Linked DNA regions of Schizosaccharomyces pombe. The gene in region 1 interacts genetically with each later gene. Each region holds a gene or a part of one and is shown in the gene's direction. Other genes may lie near its edges. The genes, in order: alp14, mto1, klp5 and lem2.

What was found.
Region 2: of alp14 (region 1) and mto1, changing one enhances a phenotype caused by changing the other (phenotypic enhancement), as found in Schizosaccharomyces pombe (one study listed by BioGRID).
Region 3: mutations in alp14 (region 1) and klp5 are lethal when combined (synthetic lethality), as found in Schizosaccharomyces pombe (one study listed by BioGRID).
Region 4: of alp14 (region 1) and lem2, changing one enhances a phenotype caused by changing the other (phenotypic enhancement), as found in Schizosaccharomyces pombe (one study listed by BioGRID).

What each region holds. Positions count from the first base shown.
Region 1 is NC_003421.2:1,009,510-1,017,181, forward strand, and holds alp14 (microtubule polymerase alp14), read left to right. Parts: upstream 1-1,933; 5' UTR 1,934-2,252; coding exon 2,253-4,682; 3' UTR 4,683-4,805; downstream 4,806-7,672. Other genes in the region: elongator complex subunit Elp2, read left to right, coding at 1-989, 1,032-1,367; SPOM_SPCC895.08C (uncharacterized protein), read right to left, coding at 5,139-6,611; ATP-dependent RNA helicase Ucp12, read right to left, coding at 7,585-7,672. UniProt on the Schizosaccharomyces pombe protein: Required for bipolar spindle formation and proper chromosome segregation. Has a role in connecting the kinetochores and the plus end of pole to chromosome microtubules. Also required for the activation of the spindle checkpoint pathway.
Region 2 is NC_003421.2:1,678,377-1,686,591, reverse strand, and holds mto1 (gamma tubulin complex linker Mto1), read left to right. Parts: upstream 1-3,320; coding exon 3,321-6,668; 3' UTR 6,669-6,831; downstream 6,832-8,215. Other genes in the region: tef3 (translation elongation factor eEF3), read right to left, coding at 1-926; mug27 (protein kinase Mug27/Slk1), read left to right, coding at 7,156-7,764, 7,814-8,215. UniProt on the Schizosaccharomyces pombe protein: Spindle pole body (SPB) component that acts as the gamma-tubulin complex-binding protein of the SPB outer plaque.
Region 3 is NC_003423.3:1,708,581-1,716,192, reverse strand, and holds klp5 (kinesin-8 family plus-end directed microtubule motor Klp5), read left to right. Parts: upstream 1-4,075; 5' UTR 4,076-4,271; coding exon 4,272-4,302; exon of another isoform or gene 4,303-4,358; coding exon 4,359-6,979; 3' UTR 6,980-7,112; downstream 7,113-7,612. Other genes in the region: cytochrome c oxidase subunit VII Cox7, read left to right, coding at 757-822, 890-982, 1,033-1,053; cay1 (cactin), read right to left, coding at 1,307-1,936, 2,020-2,472, 2,519-2,611, 2,667-2,918, 2,965-3,090; IMP dehydrogenase Gua1, read right to left, coding at 7,312-7,612. UniProt on the Schizosaccharomyces pombe protein: Has a role in establishing metaphase during mitosis. Required for chromosome segregation where it generates tension during kinetochore capturing.
Region 4 is NC_003424.3:2,231,104-2,238,338, forward strand, and holds lem2 (LEM domain nuclear inner membrane protein Heh1/Lem2), read left to right. Parts: upstream 1-3,174; 5' UTR 3,175-3,494; coding exon 3,495-5,561; 3' UTR 5,562-5,670; downstream 5,671-7,235. Other genes in the region: rRNA (pseudouridine) methyltransferase Mra1, read right to left, coding at 1-309; protein Edc1, read right to left, coding at 2,046-2,984; RNA polymerase I general transcription inititation factor subunit Rrn3, read right to left, coding at 5,893-7,235. UniProt on the Schizosaccharomyces pombe protein: Nucleus inner membrane protein involved in meiosis. Plays a role in regulating nuclear envelope (NE) morphology and nuclear integrity, particularly during spindle pole body (SPB) extrusion or insertion through the NE, and perhaps during karyokinesis.

The sequences.
Region 1 (7,672 bases):
CTACAGCAACTGGTAGTGCTGGAGGGTTTTGGGGAGGTTTGTGGAACCCAAATGGTAATTGTGTAGTATGCTGGGGAAGAACTGGTGGATGGAGACTCTGGAAGCAAGATGCTGGGCAATGGCTCCAACTTCCATCTATTTCTGGTCACACAAAGTCAGTGAAAGGCGTTGCTTGGGATCCTGAAGGTAAATTCTATTTATCCGCCGGCACAGATCAAACTACTAGATTGTTTGCACGTTTTAAAAAGGATAATGCTTGGCATGAAATGGCTCGACCTCAGATCCATGGCTATGACTTAACCTCTATATCCTGTATGCCTTCTCGAATTGGATTTTTGAGCTGTGCCGATGAAAAGGTGTCTCGTGTTTTTAAATTCCCTAAAACAATTGTTAGACTTCTTTACCGTTTATGCGATACCAATATTGGGGAGGAAAGCTTACCTGATGCTGCAAATGTTCCTTTACTAGGTCTTTCTAATAAAGCTACCACTGCATCTGAAACTGGTACGGTAAATGCAGAAGAAGTTCAGACTCCTGTTGCTGATGTGATTGGTTCTTTGAACCATCCTCCTTTTGAAGAACACTTACAGCGTTTGCTATTGTTTCCGGAAGTTGAAAAATTATTCGGCCATGGTTATGAGGTTTATGCATGCGCCATATCTAATAATGGTAATATTGCCGCGACTTCTTGTAAATCACAAACCCCCGAACATGCTGTCATTCGGTTATACGAAACGCAGTCATGGAATCAGCAGCAAGTCCTTAAAGGTCATTCTTTGACGGTTACAACTATAAAGTTTTCACCTGATGACCGATACATTTTAAGTGCTGGGCGGGATCGGTTGGTGTGTTTGCATGAGCAAGCCGAAAATTTATTGGATTATAATAACTTTGCTTCTATAAAAGCGCATTCTCGTATTATTTGGGATGCTAGTTGGGCTCCCAAAGAAATGGGTTACTTTTTTGCGACTGCTTCGCGTGATAAATTCGTGAGTAATTTTTTATTTGATCAAATCTTGCTAACTATTTAGGTTAAATTTTGGAAAATCAATGACAATAAAAAAATATGTGATGTTGCTGCTCTCCAATTTTCTGATGCTGTTACCGCTGTTGACTTTGCTCCGTTCTTTCACAACGATGAACTCTTGCTTGCGGTAGGAACTGAAGCTGGTAAAATATTTATTTGGAGATGCCCGAGAGAGAATCTTACCAAATGGTACCCAACACGTTTACCAGACCACATGGCTCCTATGGAGTCAATTAACCAAATTTTATGGAAGCCCACTTTTGAAACTATGGGGTTGTATTCTCTTTTAATTGCTGGCGAAGATACCAGTGTACGACTTTTGAACGTTACGTTGGGATAAACTTGAAAATAAGTACAATTGGTAATGTTAGATTGGGTTGGCCTGTTTTAAACATACCTGAGGGGTGGTTAAAAATGCTTAGATAAATTATTTATTGTTATAATTGTCGATAAATAAAAGGAAGGTTAATGGGTTGTTAGGTTGGCATAATTAGTGCTGAATGGTAGACATTCATCAGATTGATTCATTACTTTAGTTGTTATATATATATATAAATATGTATTTTTAATTATTAGTATCAAAAACTTTGGTGTAGTAGTCTTCTCAATTAACTCAAACACAATTTTACATGTTAGAGAAAAAAACAACACATAAAAATTTTTTTTAAAAATAAATTATATTTAAAAGGTAGATAAGGCAAGATTTTAACTAAGAAGTATTTTCAAGCGTAATAGAATGCAAGTTGTAAATCTAACTAAGAACATTGATTACTTCTACGAAATTTAGTTTATTTTTTTTCCCTTTCTATTACTCGTTTACATTTATTGAAAGAACGGAGCAAGCTAGGAAGTAATTTATATTCAACTGAATGACTGCATTTTCGGTAGTGTCCAAAAGTAACACTTACCAACTCCAAACATCTATTTTGCAAACCTAAGTCTTAATAAAGATACTTTTTATTAAAGGCTATATTTTCTCAGGTTTGAATTTGTTGACTCAACGAGTTAATACTTATATACTCCGGCCTTGCTAAATCGATATTCTGTAAAGTTTGACAGTGTTGTATTTGCCTACAGGCTTAACGAGTAATTACTTATTATTTATTCAAAAAAGGGAGAAAAGGTACTAAGTACAACTTTTGAGTTTTAGAATTGGAGTTTTGGGAGAGCATTTGCTGTTTATTTATCTTATACGCTCCTTTAATTTTTGGCACCCCGGAGGAACATGAGCCAAGATCAAGAAGAAGACTACTCCAAACTTCCTCTAGAATCAAGAATAGTACATAAAGTATGGAAAGTGCGTCTATCTGCTTATGAAGAGTGCAGCAAATCGTTTTCACTTTCAGCAGATGGTTCGGATAATTGCTTTGAGCTTTGGAATAATCAGAGTGAATTGTGGAAATCAGTGCTGACTGATAGCAACGTAGCAGCTCAAGAAGCTGGTACCGCAGCGTTTGTAGCTTATTGCAGGTTTTCCGATCCTTCTCATTTACTTAAAGCTCGTGAAATATCAGTCCTTTCAATTTCAGAGAAATGCTTAACATCACCTCGCGCAGGTACAAGGGAAAATGCACTAGAAGCTCTTATGCTATTAGTTGAAGCAGATTCAGCTGCGCCAGTTATAGAATCAATCATTCCTTCTTTATCGGCTCGATCCCCGAAGGTAATAGCTTCTAATGTCGCTGCCATTGCTAGTCTAGTTGAGCAGTTTGGTGCTAAAGTTATTCCTTCAAAAATGATTATTCCACATATCTCCAACTTGTTTGGTCATGCTGATAAAAATGTTCGTAAGGAAGCATCTCGTTTAACTGTAAACATTTATCGGTGGACAGGGGATCCTTTAAAAGATTTACTATTTAAAGATCTAAGACCAGTTCAGACGAAAGAGCTTGAGTCTCTTTTTGCTGAGCTACCAACAGAGCCTCCCAAACAAACTCGTTTTTTGAAAAGTCAGCAACCTACATCAGAGCCGAATGTTGAAACACAGGTAGAAGAGCAACCTGCTCTCGAGAATGAAGAAAGTGAACCAGAACCGTCAGATGATCAATTTGATTTGGTAGAAGAAGTGGACGTTTTACCCAATGTGGATCCTAACCTGGAAACTTTAATGGCTTCTTCGAAATGGAAGGATCGTAAGGAAGCGTTAGACAAACTACTTCCTGTCTTATCTCAACCAAAGATCAAAGACAACGATTTTTTTAATTTAGTTGCTATTCTCACAAAGTCTGTTTCAAAAGACGCAAATATCATGGTGGTTATAAATGCTGCACACTGTATACAAGCGATGGCTAAAGGTTTACGCTCAAATTTTTCGAAGTATGCCTCAACATCTATTAATGCACTGTTGGAACGATCCAAAGAGAAAAAGGCTAATGTAATCGAATCACTATCTTCTGCGATGGATGCTGTTTTGGCTACATCCAGTTTGGATGACTTAGCCGAGCTCATTGCTAGCTTTGCCGGGAACAAAAATCCTCAAATCAAAAGCTCCTGCTTTAGTTTGTTCTCGAGATCTTTCAGTAATATGACATCCTTACCATCTAAGTTTACAGTTGATACCTGTGCTAAAGCATGCGTTCCTGGTGTTTCTGATACCTTTGAGCCGGTGCGTAGTGCGGCAGCAGAAGCCTTGGGTGTTTTGATGAAACTCGTTGGTGAAAGAGCCATTAATCAGTATTTAAGTCCGTTGGACGACATCAGGAAATCTAAAATTCGTTCTTTTTATGAAACAGCTACAGTAAAGGCTAAGGCACCTACAAAAAAGTCGAAAGTTAAACCTTCAAAACAAGAAGAATCAAAAGTCGTCGTACCTTCAAATGCTAAGGCTGTCAAGAAATCCGTTGTTCCTTCTAGTCCAGTTGTACCATCTCCACGAAAGGCAACTAACAAATCGCTTTCCATGGATGTATCAAAGGGTAATGCATTTGAGAATGGTCCTTTGTTACCAAGACCGACTACGAGGCCAGTTTCTCGAGGGCTTTCACGAGGCACATCTTCCAGTTTGCAACAAAAAGTAAAAGCTTCCACTCCTTTGAATTCGGGAGCACTTAACGAAACGGTGCAAAATTTGAAGAACATGGAGTTGGACGATCCGGCTCCTCAACCGGCTAAGCATTCACGAGTTGATCGTTATGAACACCCTAAAGTATTAGAAGACAATGACTCTACCATTTCGTCTTTAGAATCTCTGAAGAGAGAAAACGAGGAGTTACGAGAGCAGTTGAAAGTTGAACATGAAGAGAATATTTCTATGCAAAAACAACTCAGTGAATTGAAAGGTGAATTAAATACCTTACGCAGTGCCAGGAAAGCCTCACCAATAGGAGACAGAAAACCTGCATTTATGCGAAGAGCTAATACTGACTTTTTAGAGCTCTCTACGAGTCCCTCATTTCAACGTTCAGTGAGGGAATTTGAACCTACTAGACCTAAACTTTATAGCTCTATAGATGTGAATCAGAGATCCCCTTTAGCATCTGCGAAAACAAATGGTAATTTCACGTTTCATGCTGAATTACCAAGATCACCGTTTTCGTCAAGGGCCAATAATATCAATCCTGATTGGACTAAAGCCATTGATTTAGCTGCCAAACTAAAACAAAAAATTACTGAGATGAAACAAACAGACCAAAGACATCAGGGATTGATTCACTAGTTTTTAAATTCTTTCGTTTACATTCCAATGTCCCTTACTTCCCTTTCTATTTTTTAATGTTTTAGAATAATGATAATATCGGTTTACAAAAATAATAACAAAATACGTATTCTCGTTTATACCAAATTTCTTAAAATCAGATTTAACTATAGGTTAAAGATGGAGTCAAATGGTAACTCAAACACACAACACAAACAAACATATAAAATAAATAAAAGAATTTTAACGTACGAATTTATCGCATTAAACGTATTAGTGTCATTAAAAAAAGTAGTCTGTTTAATTTTGCATCACAAGTATACTGTATAGCCGTACCAAGTATAAACGAAAACCTCTTTTTAAAAAAATTAAACATAATAAAGAAATTGTTAGAAGAAAAAAAATAAAGATATGCGTAAAGTACAGACAGTCGAAAAAAGAGTAACAATCACATGAGTCTTTGCCCAATGAAAAGTTCTAAGCTTTGTTCAAAAAGTCCGGAGGACTGATGTTGCTAAAGTAGTCCAAAGAAGCGGTGGAAGGAGTATCGGCATCACCATCATCGTCCTCCAGGTAGAAATAAGAATCACGATAAGGGGAATAAGGCGGTAAATGGGACAATTCCGACTCTAATTTCCTATGAAACAGATATATAGGAAGCTTAAAATCCAAGGAATCTAGCCACTCATTTAGTTTTTTCGCATTTTTTCGAGAGTATTTAGATAAATTTGGTAGGGAGGCTTCGGAAGGAGAGGCTAAAGATTGCTTTACGCTGTTTTCAGTATCGCCATGCCAGCTTCCAGAAAGCGAAGAAGATGATGATGAGGGTCTTTTCATAGAAAATAGTGAATTAGATTTAGCTTTGTGAGTCCGAAGGAATGGGGGAGCGAGTTTTCGGGATAAAGAGGAGGGTTCACGAGAGTGAATTGATACATAAATTGAATGTCGCACAAGGAGGTGTGGATTTTCTGTACAGCTTCCGTGAATTAAGTCGTTCACAGGAATTGTGAACTCAACTCTTGAATGGAGGCCAGGAACAATAGGTGGAGACCACTTACCATCCTCAAAAAGGACAGTAATGGAGTTTCGAAAAGCATCATTAAAAAGAAAAAAGGTAATGCTTTGGACAAGAAGCACTCGTATATAATAGCGTTTTAACTTCTTTTCGACTACAGGAGACGAGGTACGAGATAATGAAGAGCGTCCTTTCATATCACAATCATTACTCAAACGTGGTAACCGATCTTGAAAGATAAATTGAGAATCTTGGGAGTTAATAGCAATGGGATCTATATGGGGATCATCTGTTCCAGCAGAACCTGGGGTAGATGACAGTACATCTGCATCTTCGGACTCCAAATCAATTAAAAGTGGGCAAACACAGCCTGGTCCTTTATAGCACTGTTGAGGATATTTAAAGAACGCAGTTAGAAATGAATACTTTGAAGACTTCATTGATAGCGAAGTAAAACACGCATCGTTTAGGGGCGCTCCATAACGTATGTGCTGAGATTCAGGAATTCGATCGGGATTGAGAGTAAAAGGTACAACTACAGGAACATTGGCTGACTTTGGCATACGACAATCATCTTCAGTATACAATTTAACCGTTAATTTGTAAGAAATCGAACCTTCTTGAGTCACAATCGTTCGTGGGGTGCACCTAGGAAGTGGAGCAATGATATCAAACGTATAGAAAACTCCTTCCTTTACTTTGAAATTATTTCCAAGATCCCAGTCGATATGATTGAAATGACACTCCAGCGGTAACTGTCTCTCAGTAGGAAACTTTTTCAGACCAGTAAAGCTTGCAGTAAGGTATTTACAATAAAATGTATCAGTTGTCACAAAGTACACCTTGTATTTAAGGATAGAACAAGGATGCTGAACTTCTTGAAAGGTGTCAGAAACCGCTCCTAAAATATGTATTTTGTCTCTCGAATTGTCCATGTAAATTAAGGGCAGAGACAATCAAGGGCACCAAAAAAGAGACATTTCAACGTCAAGCTTAACCTTACAATCCTTTAACAAAGAATTGAAAAGAATACTTGGCAATTTATAGTTTTCGTAAATTAAATGGAGGAGATGTTGTACGAGATATGTCATTTAAATGAGAGGGTCATAACAATGAAATAACGAAGCTTCAGTATAATTAGTTCTATCGTTATCATTCACCATATGAGCGGCGTTAGCTATCATTATACAATGAGTGCTCTTTAGTAACGTTGGGCATGAGACTGATACTCACAATATGACATGCAAGTTAATCCTTTATTCCAAAATAAAACTTAATAAAAAGCATGAAGCCCAAATGAACTCTCATTCTTCCATTAGGTCGATAAAAGTTATTATTATATTTATAATGGTATACTCTATAGCCCTAGTCATACTAAGGATAGCAAAGTAATATTACCTCCATTATATTATACATTACAAAGAAATGCCGACACAGTTTTTCGTATCCTTACAGAGAGTGCAAAAGACATACTAATTACTGTTGCTAAGCTCCATATTTCTGATACTGAGGCACAACGAAGTTTTCACTTAACTTTAATGAAATTTATCATCTCGTAAAATGGAATGTAAATACAGGTGAACGGGTAAGGAAGTATTAGCTTTTCAGTTGTTTGAGTAAAAAAATAATTTTCAAATACATGAATTATGTTGGTAAATAAACAATCTTATTCAGCACCTCCTAAAGCAAGTAGACGCGGAGTTAAATGATCCCTTTTTTATGTTAAATGTCAGTAAGGCAATAAAATATTAAAAGAAAATTTATCGTGTCCGTCCTGTATTGAGTTGAAAAATTAAGATCATAAACTGTTCCAAAATAATAATCTTTTTTTAGGTATAACCTGCCTCATTTGAACAATAAAAGTGATTTGTACCATTTATGCTCTTTCAAGGAAATAGAGAAGGGGAGCTAAACACCGTTGCCTGCAATCAGAGTACGAATACATTGATGTATTTCACTTTCGTAGTTTAACCCCGACGAAGATTCCAATCGCTCA
Region 2 (8,215 bases), 670 kb from region 1:
GGGTCACCAATGGTGTCCTTGATGTGGTACAAACCAGGCAAAAGCTTGGGCAAGAAAGGAGCGACGACTTGAGGATCCTCGACAAGCTTGGACATGTTGTCAATAATGACAGCAGTCTTACGCTTAATGGGAGTGGAACGCTCATTCAAACCACGGGCCAACAAGGGGACCATGATAGACAAAGTGGGGGCCTGGACTTCAGTAACGAAAGTAGTGGCACCCAAAGAGTGAATAGTCTCAGGGACCTCCTCGGGGTGAGCAATACAGTTGATAAGCTCAGGAATGAAACGGTCAATATCGGCGTTGGCAATCAAAGTACAGACCTTGGTCATGGTTTCCTTGGATTGCTTCTTAACCTCAGCCTTGGTATCCCACATGGACTCGGAAACAACAGGGATAATTTGAGGAAGGGAGTAGGATAATTGGGAAGGAGCAACCTCAACGAGAACATCCAAAAGTTGCAAAGAGTTCATCTTCTCATTCCACTTACCAGTGGTGTGGATGGACTCGAGAACAGAGGGGACGATGGCCTTGACGGCATAAGGGGTAGTGCAACGGACAATAGCCTTAGAAGCAGCAATGGCAGCATCTCTGACAGCGTTTTGCTTGTCAGCAACCTTGGCGATGACGGCGGGCAACAACTCGACCAAGTAAGGCTCGACATCAGCGGCAACACTACCATGGTTGGCAACGGCCTCAAGACCCTTCAAGACACGCTCACGAGCAGTGGCGTTCTTGTCGTTCAACTGCTTGGAAATAGCAGAGAAAACTTGAGAAGGCGCGTCTTGCTCTTCGATGGGTCCGTTGACAAAAGAAGCCAAAGCCTTGGCAGCATCAGCTTCCTCTGCGGCATCGCAGACAGTAAGGTGCTTCAACAACTCTTCAAGAGCTTTGACTGACTGCTTATTCTCACTCTTTGCAGACATCCCGGGGAAATGGTTGTTGGTAGATGAGCGGAGGTCCTGGTTGTATATGAATGGATTTTCTTAATGAAAATTTTGCAACTAAGAAAATACAGAAGGAGTACTTAAAATAAAATAATAATATGTTTTTATGTATTTAAATCTCATATTTACAATGTGACTGTTCTTTTTCTTTGGTTTTCTTCTTGGTGGTGGCCATAATCCACGGTTTCTTTGGCGGTGTTTAGTGGTTAGCGACGTGGAAAAACTATTAAGCGGCAAAATTAGAAGTCGCTAAATAAAATAACGTGTTTAGTGGCGGCGTCCTTTGTATGACGATATCATTGTAAATGTAAGGCTATATTAAAGATATCACTATAGATAAAGCATGCCATGAACAAATCGACGCGGTCCTTATGTCTCGTTAAACTAATACCACACTGCGTTGTTAAGAACGATTTTTGACGCTGTAACTCTTCTTTTCAACATATGTTGCTTGTAAGCTTTCCGTGGCTAAATGACCTCTGGCAATAATATGGTTTTGGTCGCATAACATGATGCAGTAGCACTAAATGAATTTAGCATAGGGTCGGCATAATCGCATTCAGATAGCTGCTGTCGGACATCATATTTTCAGAGTCAGAACTGTAATGATTGTATATTGGATCGTTATATACCCGCATCATTTATATAAGGTGAATATAGATATATCCTTCATTGAATTTCTATAAGTAAACTCAAATGAACTCCGTTTATGAGTTCATTCGCGAGTTAATTTAAGTGCATTCATAGTAATGTATTACATTATTACAAATATCTTAATACATATTTATAATCATTCATATTGCAATACGCGGGTCATAAAGGTCGCAACTGGGGTATAGTTATTCTGTTATACAGGTTATATTTTTACCTATCACTAATATAGCGTATAACTGATCCTCGTTCTTCATTTCAATTGTGCTTCCATTTGCATTATTCAGATAGTATAGAACTTATTATAATTTCATTAGGAACAATCGTAATATCGTATCATCTATGGTATAATTAGAATATGTAGCATATAGTGATATTCAGCGTTGTGTATCGCAGCGTATGTAATATTGCTGACACCTTAACCGATTTAGCAGAGTACGTAACTGACGAGTTTGAAGCAGTTTTTATGTATTACCATTTTTACTTAATAAAAATTATGTAGAGCGAGTGATGATGCCAAGTTTCTCTTTTATTTTGTAATAATCTATATTAGTAATATTTACATACCTGTCAACTTTTTTTTTCGCAAATTTTTTTAAACAATTTCATGGAATTAATGTTTGAAGAAAACATATCAGATCAATGATCAGCTTGAATAAAAAAAAAAATTGAAAAGAAAAGAAAGTTTTCAACTAGTTGGTTCATTCTAGTAAGTGATGATTGTAATTGATTTAAAAAAAAAAAAAATCCTTCGCTTAATAGAAAGAATGCTTTTCTTTGTTGTATTAAAAAAAATACTGAGTAGTATTAACTTAATTTACTTAGATAAATTAATTTACATATACTTATTTATTTATTATTATTTTTTTTCAGCTGCTCTACATATCTCAAGTTGATGAGTTGTAGAGGACTTTATTTTCGCATTCACTCAATTCAAGTTTCGAACACACTATGCAAATTAAAAATGTTCTCTTAATGAAAAGTATATTTGTTCGTATATTCATAGTTCAATTTACCGTTGCGATTGAAATCATCGAAATGTAGCATCATGTAACACGGTGAAAATAGAGACTGAAACAAATAATTTCAGGCTACATACCAACTATACGTAGGAAAGCAAATTTACGCTTGTTCGTGAAAACCTATGTACTCAAGCATAATCGTAGCGGACTTTAGTGTTTTTAACGTTTATTCCATCAATAATTAATATACTTAGGATTCACAGTGTGAAATGAGGTTAACATACCTTAACTTGAGGAGAGTTAATCTAATGAAAATCATAGTTACGTTTTACATATCATCAATGTATGTACTATTGTTTTGTGTATGTGCCATAGGCATGCCAAATAACATGGCTATTTATAATGTAAACGAGTGTGTGCAAATGTATAATTAATTTCATTAACTTCTTTTGAAAATATCTGCTTCTAACACAAACATTAAACCTTCTAAAATTGTAAAGTCCGCAATTACAAGTCTACTACTTTGTTGATCGTTAGTCTAACATGCGTCAAGTAGAGACAGCCATTGAGAACTACTGCCACTACATATATGCCATAGCGTATCAATAGGCATATCTTCGATCCCATACTTTCTTTTAACAATTAACAATTTAAGAAAGAATTAATTTCTTATTCAAAAATCGCTCCTTTGAAATTGTTACAAGAGTCAATGCCTACTGCTTTGGATTTGCTTATGTCGAAGTTCGTTTTCTAATCAATTATGGAAGAAAATTCCAGTGAGTTAGATAGTAATAACTTTAATGTTCTAGTGGATAATTTAGCTGGTCTTTCGCTGACGGACGAGGAAGTTCGTCGCATTTTATCACCCAGAAAGGAAGGATCTCGGCAATTACCCTCTTCTACATCAAAAGACGAAGATTCGGAAGAAGCTTCTCATAAGTATGATTTTGAAATTGATAGAGATTCTTTAAAATCTGATTCTGGATCACCTCGTCTCCATCAAAATGCTACTGCTCCAACGAGCTCTACTCCGCTTCAATCTCCCGATGAATCAGTCAATAAATTGAATAGCGAGGACGAGGAGGGAAATAGTTCTGTTGCACCTTTTTTTTTGGATACTACGAATTTTGATCGTCTCAATGACAACATTACTACTGATGATGAACAGCTTTCTCCCGTACTTACGGCTAATCAAGGGTTTCAGAGCCAAGAGCAGTATGAAGAAGATAGTTACAATAATTACGATTATACTTCGGACCCTTCAAGTCCGAACTATATCTCTTCTTCTCTAGATCAGTTACCTCATTTGGATGATGAAGATGATTTGCAATTAACCCCAATAAAAGAAGAACGAAATTATTTACATTCTCAAGATGCCCCCACTACCAATGCTTTAAGCAAAAAGATCTCCGATATATTGATACCGGCGTCTGCTATGAAAGACCTAAAAGACAGGAAAAATGCACTTGCCAAAGAGTTTGAGGAATCTCAGCCCGGCTCCTCCTTAACTTTAAAGGAACAAGCAAACGTGATTGATAATTTGAGAAAGGAAGTGTTTGGGTTGAAACTGAAATGCTACTTTCTATACGATCAATTAAATAAATTCCACGATCAGGAGGTTCAAGATATTATGAAGCAAAACATCGATTTGAAGACCCTTACTATGGAGCTTCAACGAGCCGTTGCAGGCTATGAGAAAAAAATATCTGGATTAGAAAGCCGGATTAAGCCTGATCAGTCTTTTAACCTTTCCACCCCCAGCCCGGCCCCTTCAAACCTAATTACTCTTCAATCGAGGTATTCGCAGGCTCTTTCAGAGCTTGAAACTACCAAAAGAGCGTTTGCGGCTTTGAGAAAAGAAAAATCAAAGAAGACGAATTATTCTGTTGGGGCATACAATGAAGATCGTAATGTACTGTCAAATATGCTTGATAACGAACGGCGGGAAAAGGAAGCTCTATTGCAAGAGTTGGAATCCCTTCGCGTACAGTTATCCAAAAAAGTTCCTATGCCTGCAAAAAATACTGATGAGCGTGTTATTGAAACACTTCAGCGTAGTAATGAACTGTTGAGGATGGACATATCTATGCAAAATGAAGCATTACTACTTCGCAAGCAGGAAAATGATCGCCTGGTTAAACAAGTGGAGGAGCTTACCGTTGCTTTGAATTCAGGGAAGATGAATGCGATTGTAGAGGCAGAATCAAGCAAGAATGAATTGTGGGATTCTATGATGGTATCTAGAATGAAAACCCAAGAGCAATCAATTGAACTTACTCGTTTATATAAACAGTTGCAAGATATTGAAGAGGATTATGAAAATAAATTGATGAGAATGGAGCAACAATGGCGGGAAGATGTTGACCAACTCCAGGAATATGTCGAAGAGATTACCCAAGAACTCCAGGATACCAAAGAGGTGCTGTCAAAGTCTTCAAAAGAGTCTGATGATTACGAAGAAGTAGTAGGTAAACTTAGGACTGAAGCAGAGCGTGAAATTGAGAAATTCGAGAAAACAATACGGGAAAATGAGGAGAGTATCTCTTTATTCAAAGAAGAGGTTGAAAAGCTTACTGATGAAATTACCCAATTGTCAGAACGTTATAACGATAAATGCCATGAATTTGACGAATTACAAAAGCGGCTGCAAACTTTGGAAGAAGAAAATAATAAAGCGAAGGAAGATTCAACTTCAAAGACATCAAATCTTCTTGAACAGTTGAAAATGACAGAAGCAGAAGTTGATTCTTTAAGGAAGGAAAATGAAGAAAACAAGCAAGTAATTGCTTTGAAAGAAAGCGAGCTGGTGAAAAGTAACGATAACAAACTTTTACTCAATGAGCAAATTGAGTCGTTAAATGATCAACTTAGTCAGTTAAAAACTGAAATGGAAAGCGTTACAACGAGTAAAGAATCGTTAGCCGATTATCTTAGCAACTTGAAGGAAAGGCACAATGACGAATTAGATTCATTAAATAAAAAACTTCGTGAATTTGAAGGTATATTGTCATCAAACTCTTCTTTAAAAAGTGAGATTGAGGAAAGAAATAATCAATACGTTACCCTTCGCGAAAATTTCGATTCTTTGCAGAATGCTATTATGGAAACATTTGATAAACAGGTCACCCACTGCTCGGTTAACCATTTGGTACAACAGATAAGAAAACTAAAAGATGAGAATAAAAAGGATCAGTCTGGTACTGATAAGTTGATGAAAAAAATCTACCATTGTGAGCAAAGTTTAAAAGAAAAAACAAACTCTTTGGAGACGTTAGTGTCTGAAAAGAAGGAGTTAAAGAACTTACTGGATGCGGAAAGACGATCCAAAAAAGCAATCCAATTAGAGTTGGAAAATTTGTCTTCACAAGCTTTCAGAAGAAACCTCTCTGGATCTTCCAGTCCTTCTGAAAGGAGTCAATCTAGAGAACTTAAACTTTTACAAGCATCTGAAAAACGCCTTAAAGAGCAAGTGGAAGAAAGAAATTCCCTCATAAAAAACATTGTCACTCGTTTTACCCAACTGAATACGGGAAGTAAGCCTGTAAATACCAACGTTGAAGCATTGACGACAATTTCAAGCATGAATCAGGCAGTAAATATGAATTTTAGGGAGTTGGACAAATCCATTCAAGAATTCAAACGGAAGTGTCAATCAATGGAGCGGGAATTTAAGACCGAACTCAGGAAGCTTGATGGTGTACTTGAGGCTAGAAGTAAGCGTTTATCACAGTTGGAAGAACGAGTGAAACTTTTAGGCGCTGGGTCAACTTCATCTATTCCAAATTCGCCAAGGGCTTCAAAACGCGTTAGTTTGGATTCCGAGGATAAAAAGCTTGTTCCCGCTTCTCCAGATAAGTCAGCAGTTCAAAGAGGTATCACAGCTTTGAAACGAGATGCTGAAGGAATGAGCCATATATGGCAGTTGAGACTAAGAGAGATGGAGTTTCAACTCAAGGCTGAGCAAGAAGGTCGTAAAAGAGACAAGTTGGGTGCCAGAGAAAGGCTTCAAGATTTGATTCGACAAAACAGGAGTCTTTCAAGGCAAATAAAAACGGATAAAGAAAGCAATTCTAGGTCTCCTTCTATATCATCACAAGAACATAAATAATAATCTGGATAGTTTGCGGTTGAAGTATATAGCTTTTCTTAATCACCAGTACATATCTACTTAGTTGGAGAATTTAATTGACAAAATAAGCTAATTCCAAGATTTATATTTATTTTTTATTTTTTTTTGTTCTCGATTAACCATTTTGGTGTTTGTATCTCCCTGATTATAAAGGAAATAATCACACATATTCGTAAAAAAAATTTATTTTAATCGCGCAAAAGAATTCGAAATATAATTTTTTATTTAACCTTTTTTAAGTAAATTTTACTGCGCATGTATCATCTTTGTAAAAATTCCCAGAACCCGGTGTTTGTTTACATTTGCTGGGAGAATCGAGTTTTATTCAGGCACAACGTGTACTCAAAATAAATTTCAAAATTGAGCTCACATAAACTTGAATAGGAGCAAAAAAAGGAAAGAATCCATTGCATGGAAAAAGCAATTCACTTGGGACAATTTTATAGAACGATTCCACAAACATAGAATGGACCTACTGGGCCTTAAAGAATTAGACAATAACAAACTAGTATCAAAGGCAAAAGAAAATGGAGTCGAATTTTCTGATTTATTTTTACTATCAAGCGGCTATTTACGAGACAGGGAAAATGCGTCAGCAAGTGTGTCTTCGAAAAATGAACGCATGGTGCTCAACGAAGAAAGACAAAATTGCTGGACGAAAAGAAATGATCCTAAAGGTTTAACTTACTACCAATTACTAAAGCCCAGTGAAGTTGAAATACTTAGTCGACCCGAGACAAGAAGAAAGCGGATGGCCTGTCAAGTTTTCTTCCTCAATTACTATATTAGCACAATTGAGTACCATAAACTAAGGAAGGAAAGATTGGAAGAATTTACAGCGTGTACATCGTCATTAAAACAATCTAAACAGAAGCGACTATGGAAAGAGCATTGTGGAAGGGAAAGAGCATTTTTGAGAAAAAAAAGAACCAAGATTCAATGTAGCCATTTCGATTTATTAGTAAAGCTTGGACAAGGAGGATATGGTTCTGTGTGGCTTGCTAAAAAGCGCAACACACACGAATTGTTAGCAATGAAAATGATGAAAAAATCAACATTACAGCAACTTAATGAAGTAAGAAGACACTATTAAAGATCTTAAAAGAAAACTAACAACGGCTCAGGTGAAACACATATTGAATGAAAGAGATATACTAACGAATACTAATTCCGAATGGCTTGTAAAACTGTATTATGCCTTTCAAGATAAGGAAAAAGTATATCTAGCAATGGAATACGTCCCTGGAGGAGATTTTCGAACTTTTTTGACTACCAAGGGGCTTTTGCATGAAAATCAAACCCGATTTTACCTAGCAGAAATGGTCGCTGCAATCAGTGCAGTCCACAAACTAGGTTATATGCATCGTGATTTAAAGCCCGAGAACTTTTTAATTGATCAAAAGGGACATATCAAGCTTAGTGACTTTGGGCTAAGTACTGCAATTGTTACATCGAATCAGGTAAATCGACTTCAACATGCACTAGTGAGCGCGGTTAATCCTCAGAGACCTTATTTAACACAAAAG
Region 3 (7,612 bases), on another chromosome or scaffold:
GTTCATCAATTACTTGAAAAGACGATTTAGCATTTTCAATAACTCAAACCATCATATTCTATCTGTAAGTCATTGTCAGAATCAATTAAAAACTTTCAACGTCCTTCGTATAATATGAACATAGAGCTTTGTAATACGAATTGCTTAAATGGACAAGGAATTTTCGCGTTTGTAGAGAATACTGATGAAGGATAGAACATATGTAACTCAGTATAAAATTGTTCCCTTATCTCAACAACCATAAGAATTTATATAAGTACAAGCAAATGCATCTTCATTATTAACTTTGATCGCTATACTATTATTGCTCCGAGTATGCCATGGACGCATTTATACCATGTTTGAAAGAGATTCCCCAATAGCTTATAAGGAGATAGCTTTAGTTTTTGAAGAAGAATCAATCTGACAATGATTCCGTCCTTAAATTATTTGACAACAATTAATTTATATTATTAGCGTTAATCTCGTTCAGTAAGATTAATTTAAAATGATACATACCAAAAACGATAAAGGAGCATTTTTTTAATAATACGAATATCTTTCACTTAACCGTCTTATTAATATACTTAAATATGTGAGTTTATGAGGTTGACTCTGTGTTCTGGCACCAAGATGTACTAATTGGAACCATCAATCCTTTCCGCACCTACCTACATTTTATCGTTAACCCTCATTTTTTTAACAGTTTAACTTGTTAACTTGATTATTGGTTCGTTTTATAATTATTAAAACAATTATTAATTAAAAAAGAAAAAAATGAAGAATACTATTGTTCAACAACAACGCTTTCTCCAAAGCATCCACAAACCAACTTACTTGCAGGTAAGTTTTAAACGAAACTTGTTTTTAATTATGAAGAGAAAAAAGAACCTAATTGTTTAATATTTAGAGACCAGGTAGTTTTGCTCTTGTTTATCCTTACTACGCTGTTATGGCTGGTCTTGGTTTGTATTCCCTTTATGCCTCTGGAAGAGTCATTTTCGTATGTTATTACTCGATTTATACTATTTTTTTCTAACCTTTCAAAATTAGGGGAAGAAAGATGCTTTTTGAGGACATCCGAAGCATATTTTTATGTCAGGGAACTTCAAATTTCTATGATGCCTTTTCCTTCTATTTATCACCCCCTTCTTCTTGAATTAGTTTAGCTTTTCAATCACGAACTAATCGATTTCGTGTTTCTTTACGATTAAACTTATTTATGCAATACTTAAGTAGTTTAGTAGATGCCTTTTAAGGTTGTTTAGCTGCACATGTAACAGTAATTTAAATTTCATTAAATGTACAACATGATAAATCAGTTATTTTACCTTCTATGATGAAGCTTTTTGAATCGAAAATGGAGGGATAAAACACCATTGTCAAAACTGCTTTTAAACCCATGATCTCGTTTTGCACTGTAATCCCAATCTTTATCTACTATACTGAAGGCAATATCCTGATATGGTTCCCCAGCTATAAAACGTATAATGCAAACATCGTCTTGTAAATCAGTAGTGTCGCTTTTATTCTTCCTTCGTGTTCGTTCTATTCGATACGTTGGTGCACGGCCTGTACCTATTAAATCTGGATAAAAAACGTTAAAACGGTACCCTTGAACTGCTTTGGGAGGTGGGTGGGCTTCATTGAAATGTGCTTGATTATAAGAATTCCATTCAAACCCAAGCAAAACTCTATTAAAGTAGTGAGGCTTTTTCAAAGTAACCCCGTTTTCGTTAACAACACGGGTTTGCCCTTCTACATAGTCCCCAAGCATCTCTTGCTCCTCTGCATCATCGGATTGTAAGTATTCTCTTTCGAGTCGTGCCCTGTTGGCAATTGAAAATTCATCCTCGTTAATCAGATTACTGTTTTTCGGCAAAGTTGGCTTTTGTTTTTGGGTAGGTATCGATATTGGAATATAAGTGCTAGACTTTACAATATTGACATGATCATTCTAGAAAAGATTTTGGTTAGGACAAAAGATGGAAATCGTAATTTGGAAGAGAGTTAATATTATGAAAAACACAAATATCTTACCAATTCTTTTTCATAATCGGCTTGTTCTTCAGGTTGTATCCTGCGTGGTATCGCTTGAGCCCTCAAAATGGGCTTCGGGTCTATAGGGACAATATATAACTTCTCTTCACGATCCTTCATATTTGACAGTTTTTTGGCATCGGAAAAAGCTTTGTCCCATTCTTCATTATCAAGTTTATTTTTTCGAATTTGTAATTCTTCATTAAAAGTCTTTTTTAAATAAGCAATGGCCTTGTAAGATTTTAAAGAGTTTAGTAAATCAACCCAATAATCTGTATCGAGAGGGACATTGCTCTTCAATTTTTTTTGAATTTGTGCCTCAAGCTGTTCTAATTGTTCAAAAGATTTAGGGGCTAAAATCCTTTGTACTTCACCTGCTACGACCTTTAACCCTCTTGAAAATTGCCCAACTTTGTTATGTTCCATTCGAGAATTCACTAGCATTTTAACGTACTATAATGTATAATTTAGCACTTAAAGCATAAAAAATAATCCATACCTTCCAATAAGTTAGTCTACATTGGTTCGTTTCCAGCTGCTGAATATCACCAATATTTCTAGATATCTCCTCCAAATCTTCTGCTTTATAACTCTAAGTATGTTAATGATTAATCTGTTATAAAGTAAAAATAAAATAAGTCCCTTACTTGAATAACAGAGAGTGGATCAAACATGTCAACTGTTCCAAAATCAATTGAATTTTTTTCTCCATTCTCTTCCCATTCTGGGCCTGGCATCAAGTAAACGCTGACAAGAAGTTTATCTATAGGCTTAGAACGATCATTCTTAAGTCGAATAATAGCTCTTCGAAGCTGCTGTAAACGCAAAAATTCCCGTTCTTGCATTTCTTTCGTTTCCCTACTTCGCTCTTCCTCTTTCATAGCATCTCTCACTCTCGGCTAAAGGGAAGGTTAATTCAAAAACAACTAACATTTTCCTACTTACTAAATTATAATTTGCTCTTGCATTTTGATTTGAAGGTCGAAATGAACGAGGTGAAGAAGATCTCGAAGCATGCCTTTTTTCAGGTCTACTTCTGTTGAAATCGCGAGTTGAATCACGAAATGCCATAGTAATATATTTAAATTCAATGCCTTAAATACCAATATTGCTGTATGAAGGGTGCTTTCCAACAGAAGAGAATCCAATTGCTTTTTTTTTATTTGAAACAACTCAATGAGTAGGTTAAGTTTTTTTTTTTGAAATTTGAAACGTAGAGCTTTGTTATTTGATAAATGAACTTAAGGTAATCAATTACTTAGCAATAATAAGACTTATCCAACAATAGTAAAATTTATGGTTATGGCAAAGGTGAAATTTTATTGCATATTCGAATGCTTAGTAGGTAGTTCTAATTTGACGCTTGGTGGTTTGAAAGAAATTGAGCGGTAATGTTATAGCACGAAAAACCCCTAATTCATTATAGTTGCTATTGGTAAAAGTCTCAACGATATCGACTAAAAGGTGAAGTAAAACTCAGTATTTAGTACCTAACGAATATAGGAATACCCAATATAAAATATAGAATATAATTTTGTTTATAGCGCTCACTAGTCCTCTGCTTTCAAACTAATCAGATATTTAGGCCATCAGTTAATTGGCAATAAAGTAGCTAGTGCAGCAGTTGTGGTGTTTATAGAAGTGCTAGAAGAATATATACACTTATTTGATGTTCTATTGCAATTATAGGTGAAAATGATTTAAATTTGTCGGACGATTTATTAAAGTGTGATAAAAGTAAAGCAAAGCAAGAATCTTGCCAGGCATGTGTACATTATAAGTTACAAACCAAACGATAGCGATTCAGTTCAATCATCGAATTTAGTTGCCTTTTATAATAATAAAAATACTGTAAAAGCATCTATGATACTGAGATAGCATTATACACAACTAGTGAAAATGAAAAGGTAAAACAGTATTTCAACTCGATTTTAATCGTAACTACCTGTATTTGTGTTTATTGTCAAAATATGTAAATAATGTAATTGTTTACATCTTTTATTGCCATAACAACCATTCAAAACAAAGTGCGTTACTTGACTAAGAAATGTAACTTGGCAAATGCCAAACAGTCAACATTGAAGCGCACTCAAAAAACGCGTTTCTCGCTCTTTTCTACTGTTACATCTATTTTAATAGTGATCTTCGATATAAATTGCTTTTATTCAAGAAGGTTATTGGAATTGTTGTTTGCGAGTGCCCTTCTTTTCATCTGTTTTGGATGATTGCTTGCATGGAAATTTTGCTTTTCAATGTCAAGACAGTCGTCCATTACCGTTACAGGTTAGTCTTTAATGTGATGTTTTTTAAATTCATATCTTTTTGCTAACATAAAATAGTCCGTGTTCGCCCATTTAGTACAGCTGAATCTGCAAATTTAATTGCATCCTCAGATCGTTTATCATTTGGAACATCTTCTTCCTTAAGGAACCCTGGTTCAGGACGTCAAATTCGACGAGTAGTAAAGGTACTTGATGGACGTGTCTTGGTATTTGATCCCCCGGATGAAACAACGGCTACTTTGAGTGCCACAAACCGCAGACTTTCTACTTCTCAACAGAGTCTCGCTAGATTATCTAGAAAGTCAAACAATTCTGCGGGATTTGGCCGTGATCTTCGTTATGCTTTTGATAGGGTTTTTGATGAAACTGCTACTCAGCAACAGGTGTATGAGAGAACTGCCAGGCCGTTATTAGACAATATTTTGGATGGATTCAATGCTACTATCTTTGCATATGGAGCAACTGGATGTGGTAAAACTCACACCATTAGTGGAACAATGCAAGATCCTGGTTTAATATATTTGACACTAAAAGAACTTTTTGAGAGAATGGATCATTTAAGAGATGAAAAAATTTTTGACCTTCGCCTTTCCTATTTGGAAATTTATAATGAAACTATTCGTGATTTATTAGTATCACCGACCCCAAATCAAGCAAAGCCATTAAATTTACGGGAAGATGCAGACCGTCGCATTACTGTACCAGGTCTTACTTCTTTGTCTCCAGAATCTTTGGAAGAAATCATTGATATTATCATGAAGGGAAATGCTAATCGTACTATGTCTCCGACAGAAGCTAACGCTGCTTCATCTCGTTCGCATGCTGTATTGCAGGTTACGTTGATCCAAAAACCTCGTACAGCTGGCATCAATGAGGACCACACTTTGGCCACTTTATCAATTATTGACTTGGCTGGCTCAGAACGTGCAACAGCTACCAAATTAAGAGGTAGTCGTCTTTTTGAAGGTGCTAATATTAATAAATCTCTTTTAGCCCTAGGAAATTGTATCAATGCCCTTTGTGATCCCCATCGCCGTGCGCATGTCCCCTATCGTGATTCTAAACTTACTCGCTTACTTAAGTTTAGTTTAGGCGGAAATTGTCGGACAGTTATGATTGTTTGCGTATCTCCGTCTTCTGTTCATTACGAAGAAACTCACAATACTCTAAAATATGCTAATCGAGCAAAGAATATCAAAACCGAAGTGTTAAGGAACATGATCAGTGTAGATCGACATGTAAGCCAATATGTAAAAGCAATCGTTGAGTTACGTGAGCAAATTTCAGAGTTGGAGAATCGTCTCGCACAGATCGATTTGTCATCGCAATCAAATGGTTCTGATCAGGACGCTGTAACTCAATCTTTTGCTCATGAATCGAAGCTTGCAGAAGCCAGAAATTTATTGCGTATGACATTTGAGGAGACTTTACCACTGCAAAATGATACTATTAATAAGGTAGAAAAGGTGAAACATTTTGATGATTCAATTCGCGTACTTAAGTACTGGTTATCCTGCTATGAGCGAATACTTCCGAATTCCGCAGATGAACGAGTATTTTTAGTTCGTTCAAAGTTAGAATCATTGTTAACTCGTCGTGCAGAGATCATTGCTGATATAGATCCTGAACTTGTATACCAAAAGTTTCAGAGAAGTGTTTCTCACATTATCAACACATACAAACAAGAAGGTGCTACCATGTACGCTGATGTGTTACAGGATGAAGTTGACTTGCTAAAATCAATTATTGAGAATCAGGTTCTAGATGCTCAGAATAAAGTTGATGAGTTCACTCCTGTTTTAGAATCCCTTCTTAGAAGTTCTTTCAAAGCTAGTTCATTGCTAAAAGAGGGAGGTATGCAAGAGCTATTCTCGATACTGGAAAAGTGGTTGTTGGGCATTGGTCTTGGCGAGAAACCTAATATATCTGTCTTATCAGAAAGTTATAAGCTCAACTCAACATCCGATGATTCACGAACTATCAATCGTGATAGAGTTCATAGTTTTCCCACTCAACCCTTGCTTAATAATAACTTGCCTCGAATGTTTTTCGTGAAGTCTCCAAAAAAACCAGTTGTATTTTCAAAACGTTCTCCAAAAAAGAGGGTTCGTTTCGACGATTCAATGTCTACGTCTGACTCAGGTGCCTCCGCGTATAACTCACCCATTCAAACCTCTAAGTTAAAGAACATGAACTTCTTTAATACTATGCATATGCCTTCAACTCCTGCACATAAACGGCCTGAAAATAAGAATCAGATAGATGTTGAAATTAATCTTACTTCGCCTGTCTCCCCGATGTTGGAAGATAAACCAGAACCTGGACTTTTGATAAAAAGTCCTTTGGAGAAAAAGCAAGAAGTTAATAGTGAATCCACACAGCTTGATCAACTGCTGGCCGAGGACTCGTCAACTGACGATGTTTCTTTACCTCATCTGGACACTATTGATCTGGATGGTAGTCCAGTCCCAAAAGTTCCTGATTTGAATTTTTCCAGAGCCAATATGGACTCACCAACATTCATCCTCAACAATGAAGCTATTCACAACTTTGATTTTTCTAAACCGAAGACTCGACAAAGCCTCAGTTCATTGACTACTCTTCATCTTTCAAATCCAGCTAACATTATTAGGAAATCTTTAAGCATGGCTGAAAACGAAGAAGAGAAAGCCACCTAAAGGTCCGTATATTCAAATACGAATCCTCTAAATATCCTGTTGGGTATATTTAAAAAAAAAAAACGGATAAGCTTGATGATATGAATTTTTAATGAATTAATAACTTATTAGATTATATATTTATAAACCCTAAAATTCTCTTAGTAAACTTGCACAATTCGTTCGTAATGCACTATCAAATACAAGCGTACATATATGTCTGCCACCTCCAATGTACATAATTTTGTTTTTTTCTACCTAAGCAAAACACAATTGACTTGAAAAAAAAATAAGTACTATAAATGCAATTTATTAACTTTAATTAAATTTTTCCTAAATATCCTTATACACGACTAGTAAAGACGCTTTTCGTATGTAGCAAAACCTTGGATATCACCTTCACGGATGGCAGCGCTCGAACGTAACTCGAAGCGAACTTCATGCTTGTCGACAGCTTCATGAAGCTCATCAAGAGATTTGGTACCAATATCTTGAAGAGCGTGTTGCAAACCAGTGTAGAGATAAGGTAAAAAGCGAAGAAGCGAGCCCTTGTCGACGACCAAACCAGAGACACCTTGGGCAACACGGACAGCATCGTTTTCAGAGAAATAGCGGCCAGTAGAAGCATTCTTATTAACACCAGTACCTTCCATT
Region 4 (7,235 bases), on another chromosome or scaffold:
TTCTTCATCTGACTTTACTACATTATCTATTTCTAAAGCCTCAACACCCAACTCTCGATCGATAGACTCTGGCTTTTTCGAAAGAGCTTCAACAGAAGCTTGATTCTCACGAAGTCGTTGTAATTCTTCATCTTCAATAGAACCTACTGCACCATTACTCTGCTCCTTTTCATCTTGCATCAATTCACTAGCAGTTTCACCTGACGTTATTGTTTCACTCGATTGACTTCTCTTTATGAATTTGGGTTGATTGGTTTTCTCAGAAACCTCTAAAGAGCCTCTAGACTTCCTTTTGGAATAAGTAGGCATGAATGATGAAAAAGCTAGTCTACCAGATATTGGGTTTCGACAAAAAATAATGGCTTGAGAAATTTGCTTTTGGTGGTAGCTACAAATAACTATCAGATCTAACCTACCTTGCTTAAACAAGATAACGCATATTTACGAACTTACGATCCGCTTAAACCAACAAGTGTAAAACCAAACATATCACTCGCGCATTGAGCTGAACAAAACAATGACTTATCTAAATCAACAAAAAAATTATAAAAAATCTACACACGCCGAAAATTTGTTTTCAATGAATTCTATATTAACTAAAAAAATGCAGGTAATATAAGTCCATCTTCAGCAAAAAAAAAAAAAATAAAAATAAAAATAAAAAAAAAACGGAAAAGAAGTAAAGGAAGTGGATTAAAAGGAATGTGTAAACAGGTATCGTCAACACACAGAAAAACCGTGCCTTCTAATACTGTTGCACATATCAGGTGGATAAATACACAAACGCGACACATCAGTGACGGAAATATGTGTTTATATTAGAAAAACTAAATCACCACTTAATGCAACATTATTTGTAAACAATGAAGGAAAGAGATAAATTTAAAGTTTTAAAAAGAAATGATTCCAAAACTATTTACAAATAAGAGCAATAAATGTTGCCGTAATTCAGTCTTTACGTAAAAACGATTTGCGAGTGAAAGATATTATAATCAACGATAAGTTGACTATCTTGACTAGCAATGAAAGCTCAAAAACCGAGGGCTTGAAAATTGCAAACATTCAAAAAAAAAAAAGCATAAAGCACATTGCATGTACTCCTTGAGCGTAGAAGATAGGTTACAACATTCGCCAAAAAAGGTGACCACATAAATATCACTTATATTAGCAAACATCATGTATATCATGGACGAAAGTTTAAAAGGTTGGCAACCAAAGCCAAGTTCATGAGAGGAAAAGAAGATTATAACTATAATCCTCGACACAGGAAAATAAGATGTACTGTCATCGCAAAGCAATAGGCAACACGTCAGTAATAATTAGGAAAATTAAAAGAAAAAAACACAAGAGAAAAAAATGTACGAGACCGGTGAAACAAGTTTCAAACAAATCTCGATAAAAGCACAACGAGATTATTAATAGCATAATAAAAACTAGCCAGAATAAAATTAATGCAATATGCAGATCATAACACCCAACGCTCATAAAAAAGGTAACAAATGCCCATTCTAAGCATACAAATCGAAAAGTAAACGAGGCACATTTTCGATAAATAGTCATTGACGAACATTTCCATATTATAAATGAATTGCTCGCTCAATTAACTAACAAGGAATAAGATGAAGTTAAGGAAATCTAGTCAATAAAAATCAAGATTTCAAATCCAAGAAATCCATTAAAAACGTTGGCATTTCTTTTAACTATAAGCCGTTAGAAAAGGAATTCAGTAGCTTTTGTATGAAATCCTCTAAAAACCAAAAGCGAAGGAAACAAAATTAACCCATATAGAGAGCTAAATTCTATAATCCAAAAAAACAGAAAGACAGAGGTACATAGGGTGATAGTAAGAAAGTCATAATACTAGCAAAAATACTAGACTATGATAAATTCTCTTGGCCAATGTTCAAATAAATAGTGCTACAACGAACACGTGTAGATAAACGCGGAGACGAAAGAAGGTGAAACAAAAAAGTGGAATAGTTAGAACAGAACACGAGGCTTAAAAAGGTGATATGTCCTTAGACATAAATAAGCATCCAATGAAACTATGCACTTCCTTGACGCAGCATACGGAACAAGCGCTGTTCACGATCGCGATGAAACAATAAGTCTAGGGCAGAAGTAGAATGACAATGAATGCCGTTATTAGGGGAATTCAAAGTAGGGGTAATGTTACCAGTGGGATGGCCGGCAGCATTGAAGTGATTAAAAGAAGGAGTGGAAGCTGAATAGTTAGTATGAGGAGAATTGTGTCCACTGTAAAATCCATTCGTCTGTTGAATACTCTGCAATGAGGGATCGTTACGAGACATCGGACAAAAATTATGACCCATGGCAACTTCGGATGGGGTTGAAGGAACAGAGGAAGATTGATGAAACTGGAAAGGCATGTTTGAGTTCACACTACCAGTAGGAGGTTGCCATTCAGCCTTTTCGGAAACGGGAGAGTGTAAGAACGTAGGGATGGGAAGATTAGAAGCGGCCGGAGAATGAGTAAATGTAGGACCGGCGTAAAGAATGGAATTAGTATCGGAAGAGGAATTCGAAGAAAAAGATCGATCAGCACCGGAAGAATTGGAAACGTAAGAAGATACAGACTTCAAATGAGAATCAACTTCTCCGACGGCAACCTTATCAATTCCTAAGCCAGCAGGAGCCGAAGCAACACCAGAAGGAAGGTGGGAATTAGAATTGCCACCTGAGATACGAGAGCCAGCATACGAACTGTGACCAGATTTAGAGCGTCGATTCCCGCGTACTTTATCGCCATTTCGCTTACCATTGCTTTCACCAATGTTAGAAGTAGCAAAAGTACTCTTGGGTTTCACAAAGTTAGGTATCTGGAGATTACCATCTCGTTGGGGCATAATCGACATTCCATCTAAACTGAACTCGACATCGCTGGAAGCAACCATTGCTCCGCCCGGTTTAGAATTAATTTTCTTCTTATTACGTTGAAATCTACGTCCAATGTCTTTTTGCATTTTTTACTATAGTCAAAATTCGAGTAATCCCTAATGATCATGGATTCTGTATTCTTAGTGATTGATGTTGGTTAAGGATAACTTCGGGGGCAACACTCTTACCCAATATACGTTATTTGGGCTGAGGTGACACAAAGCAATGAGCTGCGCTATGCCTCCTTATAGAGCTTTCTTCCCTTAACCATTATTTGCCACCCACTTTAACTGGCAAAAAGAAAGAAGGAAAACAAAGATTCGGCACAAAGATAGAGAAATAAGAAATTGCTTTACCTTCGTTTAGTGAAGTCTTTTATTAAATTTGAAAAGGTGTGTTTGAACAGTGGAATTCAAGCAATTTCCTAAGTATATTATAGCTCATTGCTGTAATATTATAAATTTGTATGGGATTGCAATTACGTTCACGAATCAGCAACTTATGCCAGGTTTCCTTTTTAATGTAGATAAGGATTCATGTAATTAACTAGCTTATATCAGCTTTATACCATTTTTGATCAGTTTGAATTATTCACCATGGACAATTGGGAGGACCCTAACTTCGAATTGCGAAATCTTCGTGTCATAGACTTGAAAAAGATCCTTCATGAATCGGGAGTGTCATTCCCTGTGAATGCCAGAAAAATAGAGTATATTAGGATGGTGGATAGAATACGGAAAAACAAATTAAGCTCTGGTCCACAACATTTATTGTCTCATCTTCAAAAAGAGGAAAACTCTAACACCTCAAAAGCGTCTAGCTCCGAGGATGAAATAGCTCCTAAATACCTTTATCCCTCCTCTCCTTCCAAAAGCACGAAAAAGCCACACAACGAAACAGAACCGCTTCTGTCTCCACAATTCATTGACAAACCTAGCAACATTGAAACCCCGGTTAAAATAGAGTCTCCGCACGTCTCTCAAAATAATACCTTTCAGTCCTATTCTGAATTGAGCCCTAATGTGGAAACATCGCTGACTATGAAAACTCCGCCAGCCCACGCGTCTACACCAAAATTTCGCTCGCATAAATCTCATAGGGTAGCTGTTCCTATGTCATTTATGGATAGCTCTGCTTTACATACTTCGCCAGCATTTTCGGAGAGGTTAAAGCTGCTTTCATCTTCAAACAATTTTTCTCCACAATTGAGGTCTCCCAAAATATCACATCGTCTACAAACTTCAGCCACTTCTAGTCCTCTTCAACATAAACGACCCTTTACTAATGTTCCTGAGCGAGTCTCTCGAGATATCGAGTTTGCTCCTCTTGACAGTGCAAGGCCCTCTGAATCTTCATCGCCTTATTCTGAAGTAGACTCTGCTGAGGAAGATGACGAGCTTTTTCAAAATTACGTTTTGCAGCAGACTCGAAAAGAAAGCAAACTTTGGTCGTTTATTAAAAAAGTATTTCACGACATTAAGTACGCCAATTATCGTCTTCTTCACAATTTGCGCGCCTTTCCTGGAATCAGCGCGATATCTTCTTCTTATTTAGTGCATATTTTTATGATTTTATTAGGAGTGGTGGCAGCAATTTTTCTGGCTTTATTACGGGAGAAAATGTTTACAGCAGGATTCTGTGATTCGGGTGCCAGTGGAAGTTCTGCTTCAATTCTTGGAATAAGTTTTCCATCATTGTGTAGAACTTGCCCTCCGAATGCAATATGTCCCTCTCCAAATTACGTTGAATGCAAGCCCGGATATGTCCTCTACGAACCATGGTATTCAAGTTTAGGATTTTGGCCCTCCAAGTATTGCGTTAGTGATACTTCTAGAGAAGAAAGTGTTAATATTTTTCGTGAAGAATGTTTAAGTGTATTAAGATCCTGGAATGCAATTTTGCATTGTAGCAATAACTCGTCAGATTTGCTGGAACGAAATATGTCGTACAATGCGCACCCTTATGTCGCCGATAATCTTAATATATCATCTGATCATATCTCCTTCCCATCAAAACCATTTGCGTTAGGATTATTACATGATACGCTTCTTGAAAGAAAATCTCCAACCCTTGGCCTTGAAATGTTTGAGGACTTATTTAAAGCTTCTTTGGCAGTACTTTCTGAAACGAATGAAGTTGTCATGGATTCAAAATTAATTTGCTACGATAGCTGGGCAGGTATTCCTTTGCGGTGTCGTTTAAAACAGCAACTGATAAAATTTGTTTGGAGGAACAAAGTTTTTTTATTTGGAATCCTTGCGTTGTCAGGAGTTATTTTTAAGCTCATCAATTTTTTTCGTACTCGCAGTATCGTAGCAAAGTATCTACCATCGGCTTCTCGATTCTGTGTAGAATCTTTGAAGAGACAGAAAGCAAATTATCAAATGTCTCGATCTCAAGAACCCGTTATACCACTAATCGAAATGCATGATATACTCTTTCATGGAAATGGCCCATTGGAACAAATTCATATGACGAAAGCAACTGCTCGAACTCTTTGGGAAGCAATAGTCGAACGTGTTGAACAAGTTGGCAGTGTAAGAACTCGTGAATCAGAAGTAGACGGCGAATGGACCCGTGTATGGGAGTGGGTCGGCACAAATACTTTGGATTTCCAAACCGATCGTTCATTTATTAATACAACTTCCCCTTTACGTGAATAATGATTCTCGACTGTATTTCTAGCTTTGTATTTATGACATTTTTCATAGCTAATACAAAAGTAAGTTAATAATATATTTATCTGAATGCTTATACATATTAAAAATGAAACATAAAATTGGTATAATGAGGACTTGTTTGCAAGGTTGATGAAATTTAACTGTATTTCTTATATTAATGTGATTCTTAGTTATACCAAATAAATTATTTTAAAATAAAAACCAAAACCAGTACCATTTTTGATTGAATATGGGCATGTCTAGAGTAAGAAATTAGCGGAGAAAAAATAGGACATGTCACATAGAAAGGGTATTTAAAAAAAAATAAAGGAATTCAAAAGGGAGATTCACCCAACATTACGGTTGAAGATTCGTAGTCTGTGTCTTCTTCTTCCTCGTCATCATCCAAACCTGGAATTTGTTGCCATTCGTTATAAAATGGTTGAACAATTATAGAAGACTTCGTAAGCCGGTAAGGATCAAAGGGAAAATAGGCATCCATAGTGTCGAACCCTTCTCTAAAAATTCCTTTTCTGTTTTGCTCAATAATGGAATAGACGTACATAAAATTGAGATGATTTGCAACCTTTGCAAATTGAAGTACAATATTGGGGGAACAGTATCTCAATGGATTAAGCCGAGAAAGAACGGACCGATGAAGTATCTCTAAGCCCGGTATCCATTCGTTAGGTCTTGGCTCCATGGATTCAGACTCATCAGAGACACAAAGTTCACGCCAACGAAAGCAAAATATGTAAAAAATACTTTGATTAATTGCGTAAAAAACCGAGTGTTTAGATAGTAAATCATCGGACAGCTCGTTTTCACATTGATCTAAGTAAGCTTCAACCCAACGAGTCATCATATTAACGATGATCTGAATTGTATTTTTTTCTAAAGCTTTGGCTCTAGCAACGTAAGACCCAATATACATTGCACCACTTAATCTTAAAGTATAAGGTTGTGATGGGTCAAGACAAACTTCCGTAAGCACTCCAAGGAAAATATCAGTAAACTCGGGATCCAACTGAGAAGCCCAAAATATCAAAAATTGAGTATATCGACAACGGAACGTTTTAAGGACCGTGTTCACAAATGATTTAATCAAACTATTATAAACCAAGTAACGATCTCTACTAGTAGATTTTAAATTGGAATCTAAATAAGAAAATAAAGTATACAATAGCTGATCCAGTTGCTGCATCAATTGACGAGTGTCTGTTAATGAGGGAGGAGTCAATATTGTGCTAGATGTCATTTCACTTGAAATAGCAGTATGCCGTTCATATAACGTTGAAGCTGTAATAACTTCAGAATCGGCATTGCTAGTTCCATCATCATCTGTTACCACTTCATCCTCCTCCTCATCATCATCATCAACCTCTACTTGTATTTCCACATCAATTTGGATAATTTTATCAATTATTGCATGCAATACAGGACCTTTAATTGATGGTACATATTCACATATACTTAAAACGTTCGAAATATAAGTCATCTGTGCTAAAAGGCTCTCGTCCTTGTACGGAAACTCCTCAAGTATGCTACTATACAAGAAGGAATGCGCACGGGGAACAAGTTCCAACACATATTTTAAAGCCATATGAGCATGTTCATAATGGATTGCTAAACTATCAGGCCGATACAACATATGCTGAATCAGCATAGTCATAACTA